Linked DNA regions of Rhinolophus ferrumequinum. The main gene of each other region encodes a partner of the protein of the gene in region 2 in a complex. Links are inferred from orthologs where the notes say so. Each region holds a gene or a part of one and is shown on either strand. Other genes may lie near its edges.

Region 1 (7,465 bases), on a different chromosome or scaffold from region 2:
CCATCACCCCAAACATGTTCTGTGCTGGCTACGACTCCAAGCCCGAGGACGCCTGTCAGGGGGACAGTGGGGGCCCCCATGTCACCCAGTTCAAGGACACCTATTTTGTCACCGGCATTGTCAGCTGGGGTGAAGGATGTGCACAGAAAGGGAAGTACGGAGTCTACACCAAGGTCACCAACTTCCTCAAGTGGATCGATAGGTCCATGAAAGCCAAGGCCAAGGCCCAGGGTGGGTGAGGGGTCCCGAAGCCTCCCCCCATTAAAGTGATTGTCTGAACAGTTGCCATTCTGAACCGGCTGAATCCTGGAGTAGGTGTCCTATCTGCAGTGGTTAATGTCAGTTCCTTATCCTGATTTTGTTCTTGTTCTGTTATAGTGGGACATGAAATTTTCATTTGGAACTGTAGATCCTGCCTTTGCTCCTTGCCAGGTTGGGAAATTGCTTCAGGAAATGTTATACTTTGTAGGACAGGGGTCTAAACGCCCCAAGATGACTGCTGTGCTCAAAACCATGACAGGGCTATTTCCATTCATAGTATGTTTTTCTGTTTCTGACTGAGCTAAACTGACTTCTTGGCCAGTCATACTCAGCACACTTGAGAATAAATGATCAAGGTTCTGGGAGTACAGAGAGAAGACGCCGCAGAGGTCGGGGCCAGCCCATAACTAGGAGGCCTCACCCTGGGGTCGGGGTGGGGGTTCCCCACGTGTGCCGGTGTAGGCTCCCCAGGCCCCTCATTTACCATCTGGGACTGAGAGAAAGGTGAAATGTGTCTGTCAGGAGCCTCCTGGGAAGGGAAGGCCGTGAGAGCTTCTCGTGGGCAAGGACATTTTAACATTGACTTAACCACTGGTTCTTCTTTCTGGCTTCACGCTAGAATCACCTGGGGCACTTTTAAAGTGTGCCCAGGCCCCGGCCCACCCTGGCACAGTCTCCTGAGCAGCTTACATGCCCACCAGTCCCCAGACCAGGGGACTCTGGAGTCCTTCATCCAGGCCACAGCCCAGAGCACTTAAACTGGAGTCCATGGGGTGGGCATATGCCCCTGAAGTTTCTACAGCTCCTCAGGTGGCCTCCAAGTGTGTGATGTGTGCTGGCAGGGGCTGCAGGAGGGATCCCCTGTCCTCAACTGGGTCATGTCTAAATGCCAGCTCCTTCGCTGTCACTGTCCACACTGGCTCCGGAACCTGCACTTAAGTGGTCATGAAAACAAAATATGCTTTTAGAAAATGGAAAAGGTCACCTCAGACCAGACCTGCCAGTGTATGTTCCAAATGTCCCTGTACAGTTTGCGTAACTTTGCTAAGCAAAGTCTCAAAGTCCCACTACAAAAACTCCCCAAAATGTCAGCAGCTTTTTTTTTTGTAAACAGGAGATATTGCAAGGTTAGAGTGTTTTGTAAACAAGAGACATTGCAAAGGTAGAAAAATCAATGTGGGCAAGTATAATTTCCCAGAAACAGTCTGAGGTGAGCGGGAAAAGCCGAGGGTGATGATTCTCCTCTTGCTGCCTTGACTCCTAAAAGTGAGCCACTGCCGAGTGGGCACCAGAGGCCCTTCCTGGGGAAAAGGCCTCAGCCAGCAGGAGACCATCCTGTTGTCAGGTTGAGGGTTTTCTATGCAGCTGAGTGGTCTATGTCCAGAGGCAAACCGTAAAGTTGGGTTCTTATTTCTGGAGATCAAAGGTTGTTTGGGGTCCAGAGAGAACTCGGGAAGATTCACAAATAAAACACACCTTCCCTGTTGCTATTTGATCTCTCACTGTTGGCCACTATTATTGGTGATTGAGTTCATGTATCAGAGAGGAAGGGAAACTGAGGTAGAACAGAGGATGACGCTCCATCGCTTCCATGGGGCTTCTTATCTCCCTCAGCCAGAAGCAGAATTCAATTCAGTGAGGTTCTAGAGGAAATAAGGTAAAGAGATGCAGTTCGGTGCCGTAGGGAGGGCCCTGGCCTGGGCCTCACAGATGAGGTAATCCAGGTCTGCTCATTCCTGTGTGCCCGGGAACAACTTACCTCCCTCGTGGAGTACCACTGTCTTCATGGCAAAATGGAGCTAATGAAGCCACCTCAACTACCTGTCAACCCTCAACATGGTGCCAGGCTTGTGCGTGAAGGGACATTCCCTTATTTGGTATCAAGAGAACTTCCCTCAGGGGCTGCTTGGTGTGGAAGGTGGGGACTTGAGGGCATAAAGATCAGCAGGAAGCCAAGGGTGGGGAATCAAAGAAGGGGAGAAAGGAAGGGTTTGACATTTTTCTCCTGAGCGTGAGGGAGAGGCTACGATACTACCATAAAAACCATCTCCTCCCCAGACACTGCCACCACCACTACACGCACGCACGCACGCATGCTCAGTTCCTGAGGGCAGAAGAATGAGGTGACAGCCTGGGAGCACAGTGACCCCATAACATGGAGTGGGTTCTGGATGGTGTTATGAGGTTTGAAAGGGCAAAGAGGTCCCGCCTCGCGTGAGATAGGAGGCAAAGGAGAGTGCCATCTGGCTACATGGGGGCCGACCCAGCACTGCTGCTTCTAAACCACAGTGGTAGTGGGTTGGCAAGAACACAGGTGACCCTGCACATGCTTCTGGGGTGCTGGCTCACTGGGGGGTCTGTGTGGTCCTGAGGTCCTGCTTACAGGCGTGGGGCACAAGGGCTGAGGCCTTTTAGCAGGATGAGCAATGGGACCACGGGGGCTGCTTTCTAAACTGGAACGGGACAGCTTAAATTTCTATTTTAGCAGGTCGCCTACTGCTGCTACTGCCACCACAGGAGTCACTGATTGAGGCAAGCCATCAACCAACACCTAAATCCTGGTGGAAAAGTCCTTGAGAAACAAGCTATTCATAGTCTCAGGGCATGGCCCCAGAAGTGACTTTTCAGTTACAAACAGGACAGGATAGCTTTATAATGGGGAGATCTGCTGGTCACATTATTCAAGTGACCAGGTACGAGTTCACCAACAACGAGACCACAGACGTGTGCCCTGACACAGGGCACTGGGAAGGACGCGCATCACCGATGCAGGGTTCCCCCGCAGCCTAACGTGAGAGGTCAATCGGGCAAATCCAGCTGAGGAAGGCCTGGGCGCTCCAAAAATGTCAGTGTCAAAAACTCCAAAACGCCCAGGAAACTACATTAAATGAGACTTTGAAGGAAACAAACAGGATGCAGTGCGAGAGAAGGACGGAGGCAGGGGGTTTCCACCAGATGTTCCTTAACAGAAGGGAATCCCCTCATCTATGGAGGTGTAAGGGAGAGAAGGAAAGAACAGAGGGACAGAGAGAGACAGCAGAGACACACAGAGAGACAGAGAAAGACAGAGGCAGAGAGGCAGATGCAAAGAGAGCATTCCCGGGGGTGGGGGGCAATGCGCTGTGCTGATCCACCCCGTGAGTGTGTAACCGAGAATTAGTATTAGAGTCGAGTATGGGGTGTGAGTTTGCTGTCCTGTCACACAACGCTCAGAGTATTTATCATCTCGTAATTCTCAGTTTAAAGACACCCTTGGTTCTGACAAAATGTCCCCTAGGTCCACTCCTCCAGGTGGCACTTAGCACCGCAGGAAACCTGGCTGTGCAGGTCTCACCAAGAGGTGGGTGAGGCCCCGTGCTGTGGTCTGCTTTCTAGCCTTTTACAGAAAAATTGGCTGACCCCTGGCCCACCCCTTCTAAGGTCAGGTTCACTCTCCCATCTCGAGTCCTCTACTGCCCTCCTACGGATGCCCTCCTGCCACACCAGCCTCCGTGCTGCGCCCTCCCTCAGGGCTCCGTCACTCTCTGTGCCTTGGAGGGTCTCCCCGTTAGCGCACTGTGTTCAGGTTTCTCTCCCAAAGGGAGGCTCTCTGGCCTGGACCCCTTTATCCACTCCCCTTTTCTGGACATCGAAATTTGACATTTCTCCCTCCCTAATCCTCCCTCTCCCACTCCCAGGCTCTCTCTACCTCCCTGCCTCCCTGTATCCCAATCCCTCCTGTGTGCCTCCCACCCATCTAGAATGTAAGCTCCAGGCCACTGTCTTGCTCACTGCTGTATCCCCAGGCCCAGAACACCTGGCCAGGGGAAGCCCACCTGAGCTTTGTTACTCGGGGCTACATGCATCTCTTAGATCTCTCAGTCCATCACCTTATTTCCCTGGACAGGACCTCTTGACTTCACTCCAGAAATCTACCCAGCTGTGTCTCCTTAAATACCTCACCAAAGCCCTCTTTGCCTTAGCTTTTCATTTCTCTGCCTTTTCTTCCCTCTTTGCTTTAAACAGAAAAATACAGAACCGAAGCGTATGTTTATTGAATTTGTTCAATAAAACTCCATGCGAAATGTACTCCCAACAGGGAGCACTTCTTTTCTCATTTCCGGCTTCTGTCTCCGGCGTGGCTACGTGTTTTAGAGCTGCTGGTCATTTGAAGCAGCCCCCCCCCTGTGTTGTGAGCACGGCCCAGGGCGGACTTTGGCCTCTGTGCTGCCAGACCTGTCCCTCAGCAGCCCGGAGGGAATGGCAGGCTGTGTCCAGCTGCTCCTGATCCTCCTGGTCTTCCAGAGCGCCGAGCCCTCAGGTAGGCATCTGCTTCCGGACCACGTCCCTTTTCACAGTGTGGGTTGGGCCGAGTGGGTGTTTCCTAGGGCAGGCGAGGCCCTGAGGGACCAGCATGGACTTAACTCAGCCCCCTAAAGAGTCCCTCCTGGTCTCTTTATCATTCGTGACGAATATGTTGGCAATGATGGTGGGGTCTCCCAAAAGCAGGAAAAATTAGATGTGTGAGAAGTTGAGTAAGTGGCTCAGGCTGAGGGGCCCAGGACTGGGCAGGCGGACAGACTGACCTTGGTGGTGAGGGTGGGGGCGGGGGGCCACATCCCGCAGCTGCTTCTCTAGGGGAGACAGAAGCTGCACCGCATCACCTCCGCAACCCTGCACCACCAACTATAAAGCTGAGAATCAAACGGCCTGGTGCCCTGTGGCCCAGGGGTCCCCAGACCCCATGGCGACTGCACTTTTCCCTAAGACGGACCTGGCAAGGAGGCTCCTTGACTCTGCTCCAACGCATGGCAGCTGGAAGACTGGGGAGAATCTGTGCCTTTGTGTCCCTGTGACAGTCAGCTCAGGAAGTAAGAGCCCACCCATTACTCTATGGGAGAAAAGGCTCCAACAGCCATTTCCGCAAGTCAACTCGTTTGACTTTCTCCTTTTGAGGGAATTATGAGCCCTGCCACCATTTTAAAATGTCTTCATTTCATATTATCAAGACATTAAATATTATACGTGGAGGCACTTGGTCTCTAGACCTCGGAAGCCTCATTGTGGGTCCATCTGTCACTGTCGCCCTTAACATTCCTTCCCATTCTGTCATGTCCTCCCCTGCTCTGCTCTCCCAGCCTTGTAAATGCAGCTTCATTTCCCCAGCAGCCTCAGCCAGGTAAGGAGTCAGTCAGCACCCTCACCCTTCAGCAGCCTCCCGGCCCCTTCTGCCAAATGCATTGGCCACTGTCAACCTCTCTCAGAGCCCTGGAAACAGGGTGGGTCCGAGGTGAGACTGCTGTGAGCTCCAAACACACTGGATTGCGAAGATTTAGCACAAAATAAGAATGTAAACTTGAATTCATAGTTTTTAACAGTTGTATTCACCATTATATGGTGAAATAATATTTTGGATCTATTGGGTTAAATAAGTATATTATTAAAATTATTTTCACCTCCTGGTTTTGCTTTTTAAATATGGTGCTGAGACACTTCGCTGACACCCGGGGCTTTCATCCATTCCCCTTGGGCAACACAGCCCAGGGCAGCCAGGTCTCCAACGGGCCCACAGCAGCTTGCCCACCCTTACCAACTGCACAGTCTACACAGCAAATAGCGTGACTGGGAAACACTAAGCCGGTCATATTCCTCCGCCAGTTAAAACACTTAGAATAAAATCCAAAACTCTTCACGTGTTGTGCTCATTACAGTTCAGTTTGTCTGTGAGTAGGAGAGACCCACAAGTAACATTATACAGTTTCCAATACTGTATATGGCCTTATACAACATGAAACAATCACAGTAGCTGAAACATGAGGATTTGTGAAATTTCGGTTCTAGAAGAGCTGTGGATCAGATACCCAGAAGAAAAACGCTCCTGATAAAAACTGAAAGTAGACTAAATGTTTTATATCGTTTTAAATATATGCATCACTGGGCTGGCACAAAGGGAAGAAATCAACGGAAGCCAAAGAATAAAATAAAAGAAAGGTGAGCATGAACTAAACGGTCACCCTCAGGTTTCTGCTGGACCCTGGAATCTCACAGTCCCAGGAGACTCCACATCATCCCAGCAGACAGGGCTCAGCCCTCCACACAGAGGAACAAGAAACAAATTCACCAACTGGATATTGGCACTGGGTACAGAAAGAAAAACATCTCTCAAGAATCAGTCGCTACAGTTTGGCCCAGTGGTCTGGAAACCCCAGTAATCTGGTGTCACATCCGCCTGTATGGGAAGTACCCACCTTAAGAAAGGGAGGTGCAGATCCTCTCTGGAGAAATCCACTTTCATTCTGGGCCCCAGATAATTCCAACCCCTAACGTTCTGAAGAAAACGGGCCATTCATGGTAAAAGAAAAACAACCCCAAACACACAAAGAAACAAGACAACCGTGAACCGAAGGGAAAAGAATAGAATCAGACCTTAATGTTCAGACACAGAACACAAAATAAAAGTTCAACCCGTCTTAAGAAACATGTGATAAAAATATGAGAAGGAAATGAGAGGCATTAAAATGCTCAAACACATGTGAAAAAGAACCAAATTTTTAGAACTTCTGAAATGGAAAATATATTAACTCAAATTTTTGAATCAGTTAAATTCATAAAAAGTGGGAGAAGAGAAAGTTCTCTTTACAACAGAATGCCAATTAGTAATGTGGAAGAAATGAGAGTTATAAAATCAGTATTTTGCAATTATAATGGTAATAACTGATTCAGGAAAAACAACCAAGGATGCTGAAACCATTCCGTTAAAAACTATTGGGTAACAGGACACTCAGTCTCAAAGTATCTCTCTTGCAGTGGAGAAATCTGTGGGTACAATCTGTACAGTGTCCTCCAAACTTCATGTTCACCCAGAATCTCAGAATATGGCCTTATTTGGAAATAGGGTCATTGCAGATGTAATCAGTTAAGAAGAAACCATCCTCAATTAGGATGGGCCCTAAATCCAATGACTGGTGTCCTTATAAGGAGGCTCACCATTCAGTCCTCCTTCATATGCAGAATGACGCTCAGAGCTCCAACCCCACCTATGTCTCAGGCAGCAGGATGGAGGGAGCGACAAAGAAATGGCCACACCAGTTGTCTTTCAAGAAGGTTTCCAGGCAGCTGGAAATTGGAGCCTCTTGTTCTATGCCAGAGGATGATGACTGAGGACAGCCCCTCTCAAGCCCTCCTTCCACCCCCTTTCATCTCTATGGTCCAGAGCTATGATGCT
Region 2 (7,921 bases):
AATAAATGTGCAAGAATATCGAGGAAAAGACTGAAAAAGAAGAGATATGAAGGGTGGGGGTAGGAGAATAGGGGACAAGTCTGACCAGATATTAAAGCATGTAACACAGATTCTTTAATTAAATCTGTGGTACTGGTACATTAATAGATAGGCAGACCAGTGAAATAAATAGGTTAGAATGTCTGGAAATAGACTCAAGTACAATGGAAATTTGATATTTGATCAAGAAGGACTTTTTAAATAAATGATGTTGGGACAACTGGATAGCCATTTTAAAAAAAAAAAGGATAAAATTGGACCCATTCCTCATACTAAAAACAAGAAGCCTTCTTTCCAGGTTTGTTTTTCATATTGGAATTCGTATAGCAAATGTGACAATATTTACAGTAGTCCCCCCTTATCTTCAGTTTCACTTTCCGCAGTTTCCAACTGCAGTCCAAAACTATTACATGGGAAAATTTCACGTCACTTCATCTCATCACGTAGGCATCTGCTTCTTGTGTGGCAAGGTCACAAGAAGGAGCAGGGTGAATATGGTACATACGGTAAGATATTCTGGGAGAGGACACATTCACGTTACTTTTACTCTGGTATATTGTTATGATCGTTCTATTTTATTACTTTGTTAATCTCTTACTGTGCCTGATTTATAAATTAAACTTTATCGTAGATATGAAGGCATAGGAAAAAACATAGAATATATAGGGTTTGGTACTATCCACATTTTCAAGCAACCACTGGGGGTCTTGGAACGTATCCCCTCCGTGGATAGCGAGGGGCTACTGGATGTGTTTTGTAGGGTTGAGCATGAAGAGGGATGCATATATGGAACGGAGAAAGCAAGGAAGAGTCCTGGGGAGTAGGATGTGAACTACAGGCATGAACTCGTGGTTTCTAGTATATTTCTAATATATATATACCTGGCACAATCTGAACATCTAAATAAATAAATATATGCACACATAGACATAATATAATAAAAACAGTAATGGATTAAATGCATTGAATGAAATCAAGAGTTCAGGAATCCCTACTGAGAATGCTGATAAATATGAAAGGAATAATGGATTTAGACTATCATACTGAAAATTGATTCAGCAAAGAATATTCAATGGATGCTAAATCTGGGGGCATGGAGAGTTTCATGAACAGCAGGGTATTTAAGTTTATTTCAAAGTATCTCCTCACAAAATACTAATTAAAAAAGGAGAAATGGTAGCTATGTATTGGAGAAATGGACATCAACTTAACCAAGTCATTAAAATTCACAGCACCAATTAGGGACAGACATCAGAGGCCTCTGGATGTGATACTCTGAGATGGTCCCAATACTTGTTTCTATTCCTGCCAAAAATGAATAATCTCAGGCTAATCATGGGGATACATCAGAATCACCCAAATTGACAATACTTATAAAACAGTTGGCCTCCACTTTTCAAAATGTCAACATAATGGAAGACAAAGGAAGGGCTGAAGAACTGCCCCAGATTCAAGGAGACGAAGGAGACATGGCATCAAATGCAGTCGATGGCCCTGGAGCGGGTCCTATTACTGAATATGAAAATGCCACAAAGGACATTACTGGGGCAATCGACAAAACTGGAATGTGACTGTAGCTCAGGTAATGTAACAAAATTAAATTTCTGGGATTTGATAATTCGATACTGCTTACATAAGAGAATATTCTCATTCTCGGGACTACCTAATCACTTCAAATGATTCAGAATAAGACAATGCGTGGAGGGGCATGCAGATATAAATAGAGAGAGAGAGAAGGGAATTGTAAAACATACGTGAAAAGTGTTTAAAAATTAGTGAATCTGGGTAAAGGGTGATAGTTCTTTGGAACTATCATTGCAACATTATTACCTTGCTTGGAATTATTTAAAAATAAAAATTTTAAATTAAAAGCTGAAATAAATAAGTGATGACCAGCAGCACAAAAGGAAAATAAGGAAAGGCTATATAACCAGACAGAGAAGAGTCAAGAACAGCTGTGTGCACGCGGTGTGCATGTGTGTGCGCGTGTGCTGCTGGGGGCGTTGTGTTTCCTGCCTGTGGGGAGTTCCAGGAAGGGCTGTTCTCTTGCCTCGGCATTTAGTCCAGTCACCAGAGGCCTTCCTATCAGATCTTTCCCAACCTTTCTCTACAGACGTGAGTGATAAGCTGAAATCCAGGGCAAACCGGAAGTCAGGTAGCCTGACGCTGTTCTGGTTCCCACACTGGCAGGAAGACCTTAATGGCCATGGGTCTGCATTTTCTCCTCTGTAACGTCCAAATCGGGGTTCTGGGTGCATTCTGCTCTAAAATTATACGACAAATACCATTCCTTAGCCCTTCCTACCAGGTATCAAGCTCTTTCCAGGCACAACCTCATTGCATCCTCACAACAGTCCTTACCACTCAGGCTTGGCAGCCCCATTCTGCAGATCAGGAAACAGAGCCAAAGGGAGGTTAAGGAGCTGCTCCTGGTCGCACAGCTGGCGAAAGAGCTCAAGCTACGGTGGTTGGCACTGAGTTTGAGGTTCTGGGAGCAGGGCAGGACTCGTGTTCTCGCTGAAGGAAGAGACTTTGTGAGCCACACTTCCTGGGGCCAGGGCCCACGGCCTTGGGAACGATGTTTTCTATCAGCTTCCTGCTTCCTAGCTGCTCTGAGATTTGCATCGGCCAGAGGCTCAGTTCTGGCCGTTTTACAGAGGGGGAAGCAAGCTCAGAGGCTGGATTACATGCCCAAGGTCTGGCAGCTAGGAATTTGGAGGACTCGGGTTTCCAGCCCAGAGGTGTCTGACGTACACACTCTTTCCAGTACATTCTGCTGCCTTCTTTATAAAGATCCATTTCTGAATGGCAGCAGTTTTAAGAGCGTTCCAGATGCTCAAATGCACCTCAATGACTTTTACATCCCTTCTGAAGCCCCCGTGACCACGGCCGTGCCTCACAGCATTCACACGCCTGCTTCCTCGCAGACATTTGGCAAAGGTTCCATACCCCAACCTGCAGGAAGCAGTCCTGCCTCCTCTGTCTGAGGTTCTGCCTCTCGGCTGCAAGGCACAGCGGACGACAGGCCAAGGGGCTCTTGTGCTGTCTGAGCGGAGAAGTCCAGGCCAGCTTTGCTGTCTACACTGCCACCTCTTAAGGAAGGGCTTCTCCATAGAGCAGGCACTGCCCCAAAGGAACATTCTGGAAACTGGTTGGGGCACTTCTGATGTTCACAAACCTTTGGAGGGCGCTACTGGGATTCAGTGAAGACGGCCAGAGATTCCAGACATACTGGAATGTTCAGGACTGTCCACCACAGTAAAGTGGCCCAGGTCCCACATGATGGAACTATCCCACACCAAGCTCACACGGGTGAAAACCCCATTCATAGGTGTAGTGCGGGGGATCCTGCCGACTTCGCCGTGTGTCATGCAGGGGACTCTGCTCTCTGGACCAGTTGTCATGCAGGGCGGCCTGCGGGGTCTCTGGTCCCGCTCCCCACATAAGAACGCAGGACATGGTGAGGCCGAAAAGGAACACCCACGGAGCCATAGGTAGGGGAGTCATATTACTATATTCTCGCTGGCGGCTGGATTGGAGACACAGGGACCAGGAGCCACACAATTCTCAACCCTCACTGCGCCACTTGCAGGCTCAGCCCCCATCTTCTTGCTAGGCCCCACTTGCTGCTAGCGTAGCCACGCAGTTATATTAGTGGCCAATGGCTCACTGGTTACAGCTGGCGGCCAACTAGCCACAGCTGATGGCCATTTGATCACAGTCGACGGCCATTTACTACCTGAGCCAGCACCTTTCTACGTGAGGCCGAGAGCCTGGAAACTGCTTTTTGGGGCTCTGTCCCCACAATAGGTTATCCGACGGGTGTTTTATTTCATATGAAAACACCGTTTCCTCCCAAGGTTTTAATTCCCACTGAATTTCCTGTGAAGACAACCATGTAAATCAGAGGAAGATTTATATTTGCTTTGCTTCCGTTTTCTTTTTGTTTTTAACTTTCCCAAACATGATTCGCCATTGCAGACAATCACATGGCTGGTAGTAATCCTGGTGATAGCCTGTGCAGCGCTGAGGGTCTCCGACTGGCCCCGTGTGCGGCGGCGTCCGCTCAGACTTCCAGTGCAGTTATGCCAGAGCGTCTACATGTTAAAAGAAACACTATTTCCTTTTAATTTACTTTCACTTCCCCTCCATATTGTGGCTCAAGCAGTATTTTGCTTTTTTAAAAATGTCGTGGGTATGTTATACTAACTATACTTTTCACTGCAGGATAGTGAGGGGCACATAAAATATTTGTGTTATCAAAAGGGGTGTCTAATAGGTCTGAGATTTTTGTCTTAAAGGGTCTCCAGTACTCTTGACTTCAGGTCCTTGAGGATTCCAGTCTCATGAGTCTGGTAAAGCAGTGGGTTGACCTTGAAATGACTTTGTATTGCTAATAGTGATTTACATGTCCTTTTCTCCCACTGGACTGAAAGTTCCTTTGGGGGGGTGGGGTTTCAGGGAAATAGTTCCTGTCATCTCTGCCCCGCCCCCACGCAGTGCCCAGCCCTGAGGTGGGGACTCAGGAGGCCTGGTGGGAGCCCCCTTCCAGCGCTCAGTGCCCGAAGCAACTCCATCTCCCTGGAAGCTGGAGTTGAGAAGCAGGAGTTCCCCTGGAGAAGTTTCCGTCCCATTCAGTGTTGGAGGAGCAGCTGGGGAAGATGGGAAGCCTCTCTGCCTTTGCTTTTCCAGAAACGCCACCATCTCCCAGCAGGATGTTAATCAGTAACGGTCCCACAGGACCATCCTTTGGAATAGCAAATATTTGCTGCAGGCATTTGGCTGCAAACCCTCGCCTTCTGGTTTTCCTTGAATGAAGGACCTTCCCTGGCACCTGGGGGCCACTCACCGGTAAGAAGCAGCCATTTAAAGGGAGGCCTTCGCAATGTCTAACGGCGAGGGCTGGGGAGACACATCCTTGTCCTCTCTGGATGGGTTCCAAGGTGAGGGGGAGGGAGCCTGGGCAGCACCGATCCCCCACTCCTAGCTTGGGGAGGGCAGAAGGGGGGCACAAAGCATGTTGTGGACACAGGGGCCTTCCGCTGCAGGGAGGAGGTGAGACGATGAGGCTTTTAAGGCTTGAGAGTTCATGTCCACAACACTCACGTGGAAGCCACACTCAAGTCCCTGACTTTCCTCCAGGGACCCTCCTGCTCAGGTGAGCGAGCTCCCCACTTTCCGGGCTGGGTGGGGGTGCTGCCCAGGTACATTCAGGGCTGTGGAGTGTTGAGTGGTTGATTTCCTACCACTCAGCTTCTATTTAGGATGATGCACCCATGGTGTGCTTGATGGCACCCTAGTGCTCGAGGGCTGCCCCTGCATTCAGATCCTGTACCATTCAGTTGATGAACGACGCTAGGGGGGGATACGTAGGACTGTCCATGTATTCCTGGGCTGCCACCCCAGACGGAGCTACACGGTAAGACTTAGCAACCGGAAGGGGTGACATCTGTCTGCTGCGCGGGAAGTGTTTCCTGACAGCTGTCACAGAGAGAAGTGAGCTGCATTCAGGAGTACCCTGCTGTGGAGGTGATTTATTAATTTACAAAGCAGGGCTAACTACTGTATGCAGGAAGACCTCGGAGGTGCTGTGCGTACTGGGGTTCCAGACCACCGCAAGAGAGTGAATATTGTGACCGAGAGTCACGTGAATTGTATAGTTTCCCAGTGCATTTATAAAAGTTACGTTTACAGTATACTGCAGTCTGTTAAGTGTGCACTAACTAGTATTATGTCTAAAAAAACAATATACATAATGTAATTAAAAAATACTTTATTACCCAAGAAATACTAACCATCATCTGAACCGTTAGTGAGGCTTAATCTTTGTGCCAGTGGAGGGTCTGGCCTCCACGGTGATGAGAAGGCAGTATCTGCGAAGCGTGGCAAAGCAGAGCGCAAGAAAATGAGGTCTGCCTGTATCATGAAGGCATGAGCCTGGGGTACGTTTGGGCAATGTCGGAGGTCCTTACCCAGCAGTCCCAATGTTGGCGTGAGCTACTGAACAAGGCTGGCCATTTAAAATTGATCAGGATTCTGTAAACACAGACATTTACGAAACACAGCAGAAGTGTTTCCTGAGTCGGGCAGTGGCTTCAGGCTGTGGGATGAGTGAGGTCCTGAATTATGTGGCCCTGTTCAGCATAAGGAGCAGTGCACTGAGTCCTGGGGCCCGGTGTCACTTTGTACCAGGCACAGACGAGGACACAGCCCCCTGCATCAGAAATAGGCCTGGGGACTTCATCCTGTCACCACCTTTTGCTACAGGTGGCCTGATTCAGAATGAGGGTCTCTGCTGATGGGAACGCCCGTGAGCTCTGCAGCCTCCCCTGCTCTGTGCCCTGGGCTCAGTGGTCCCGCCCCACCCAGGCCGTCCTGGGGCAATGAGCCTAGAGAGAGTGTGTGTGCATCTGGGTGACCAGTCAGCCTCTGGGTCACAGGCCTGGTGCTATCAGCTGAACATCAGGAACTGAGTGTGGAGACTGCGGAGGGACACAGCCCAGCCCTCAGGCGTTTATTCAGATGGAAACTGTGCGGGTGCTCGTGTTTTCCAGGCTCTGTGCCCAAGGATGCCAGGGAGCCCGGAGAGATGGGTAGTGGTGAGGAGGGCGGGATTTGAAGGCCCACTGCCGGTACTGGAAGGTTGGCTCCACCATGTAACCTGGGGCGGTGAGAGCGAGGACACACTCCACAGGTCACTGTGAGGATTAGATGAGTTTAACCCAGGCCTCTGCTGGACAAGCTGGCTCGTCATCATCTCTATCCTAGGGAGCTCCGGGGTAGTGAAGGAAGGGAGACCTGCAAGGAGGTGTAAGGGGCCCCAGGGCTGGGTGGAGTGGTGGAGCAGAGGGGTAGGGGAGAGACTTCTGACCACCCAAGCAGGCAAATGCAGCACTTTCCCTTTTCCTGGTCCTGATCACCACCGAGACCCTCTAAATCCCCAGCCAAACATGCCCCAGACACAGGTCCCCGAAACCCAGCTCGATGGGCTGCTATAGGGCCCAGCAATCAAGGGCAATGAATGAAACAGATCGATAAAAGGTCTGTGAAGACCCCCTGACCCAGGCCCTGCTCTGACCCACACCCAGTCAGGGCTGCAGGCCAGAGCATGTCCTGTCCGGGAGGAAGTGGAACGCATGGAAAAGTTGGGGGAGGCCAGCTGCCCAAGGGCTGGCAGGGGATGGGAGGTGGAGGAGGTTTTGCTCTGTGGAAGAATCTCCTCATCACGTGAACAAATAGCACCCCCACTTGCTCCAGGTCTCCCTGAGGGAACTTGGCTGCATGAGCCAAGCCCCAGCCCCCCACAAGAAGGAAGCGGGGTCACTGGAGGGTTGTATCATGACACAGGCAGGAGTTACTGTATTAGGCATTAAAAATAATCTCTGCTTTCTTTTCTCCCAAGGCTCGCTGCTGAAGAAAAGTGCTCCATTGGCCTCCACAGCTGAGCAAATGAAGGCAGTGCTGAGCCTCCTGCTCCCCTGCCTCCTGGCCGACGTGTGGCTGGTGCCTGGTTTGGCCCCTGGTCCCTGGTCACCAGAGGCCCAGGCAGAGCCAGAGACTCTGCAGCCCCCCACTGCCCAGAACGAGACCACCAAGGGAGTGCAGCCTGCTGAGGGGAGGGACGAGACCTGGCTGACGGCCAGCGGGCAGCAGCTCTCTGAGGAGTCCTCCAACTTGGGGTTCAGCCTGCTTCGAAAGATCTCCATGAGACACGAAGGCAACGTGGTCTTCTCCCCGCTGGGCCTGTCCTCTGCCATGGCAGTCCTGACGCTGGGGGCCAAAGGGCAGATGAAAGCCCAGCTGGAGAGCGGGCTCCGCCCCCAGGCCCAGAACCAGACCTGGCCCTGGCTCCTGCCAGCCCTCTTTCGGCAGCTGAGAGAGC

What was found. The genes of interacting proteins can lie anywhere in the genome.
Region 1: the proteins of SERPINA10 (region 2) and PROZ are in contact, whole or in part, in a crystal structure (PDB 3H5C), measured with the Homo sapiens proteins. The link is inferred for Rhinolophus ferrumequinum from reciprocal best matches to the Homo sapiens genes SERPINA10 and PROZ. Residues at the interface, in NP_001094077.1 of Homo sapiens: Arg88, Lys89, Ser91, Met92, His94, Asp95, His257, Asp259, Lys260, Tyr261, Asn282, Phe283, Lys305, Met306, Asp308, His309, Leu310, Ala311, Leu312, Asp314, Tyr315, Leu316; in NP_003882.1 of Homo sapiens: Cys129, Pro131, Cys141, Leu142, Pro143, Ser151, His250, Met251, Arg252, Asp254, Ala257, Glu259, Asn260, Glu284, Lys285, Asp286, Phe287, His290, Leu291, Thr336, Thr337, Arg338, Arg390, Ser392, Leu393, Trp394, Gln397.

Annotation. Positions count from the first base shown.
Region 1 is NC_046287.1:55,685,117-55,692,581, forward strand, and holds the start of PROZ (vitamin K-dependent protein Z), read left to right. Parts: upstream 1-4,422; 5' UTR 4,423-4,500; coding exon 4,501-4,561; intron 4,562-7,465. Other genes in the region: F10 (coagulation factor X), read left to right, coding at 1-239. UniProt on the Homo sapiens protein: Appears to assist hemostasis by binding thrombin and promoting its association with phospholipid vesicles. Inhibits activity of the coagulation protease factor Xa in the presence of SERPINA10, calcium and phospholipids.
Region 2 is NC_046289.1:8,842,546-8,850,466, forward strand, and holds the start of SERPINA10 (protein Z-dependent protease inhibitor), read left to right. Parts: upstream 1-4,900; 5' UTR 4,901-4,924; coding exon 4,925-4,982; intron 4,983-5,090; exon of another isoform or gene 5,091-5,197; intron 5,198-7,441; coding exon 7,442-7,921. UniProt on the Homo sapiens protein: Inhibits activity of the coagulation protease factor Xa in the presence of PROZ, calcium and phospholipids. Also inhibits factor XIa in the absence of cofactors.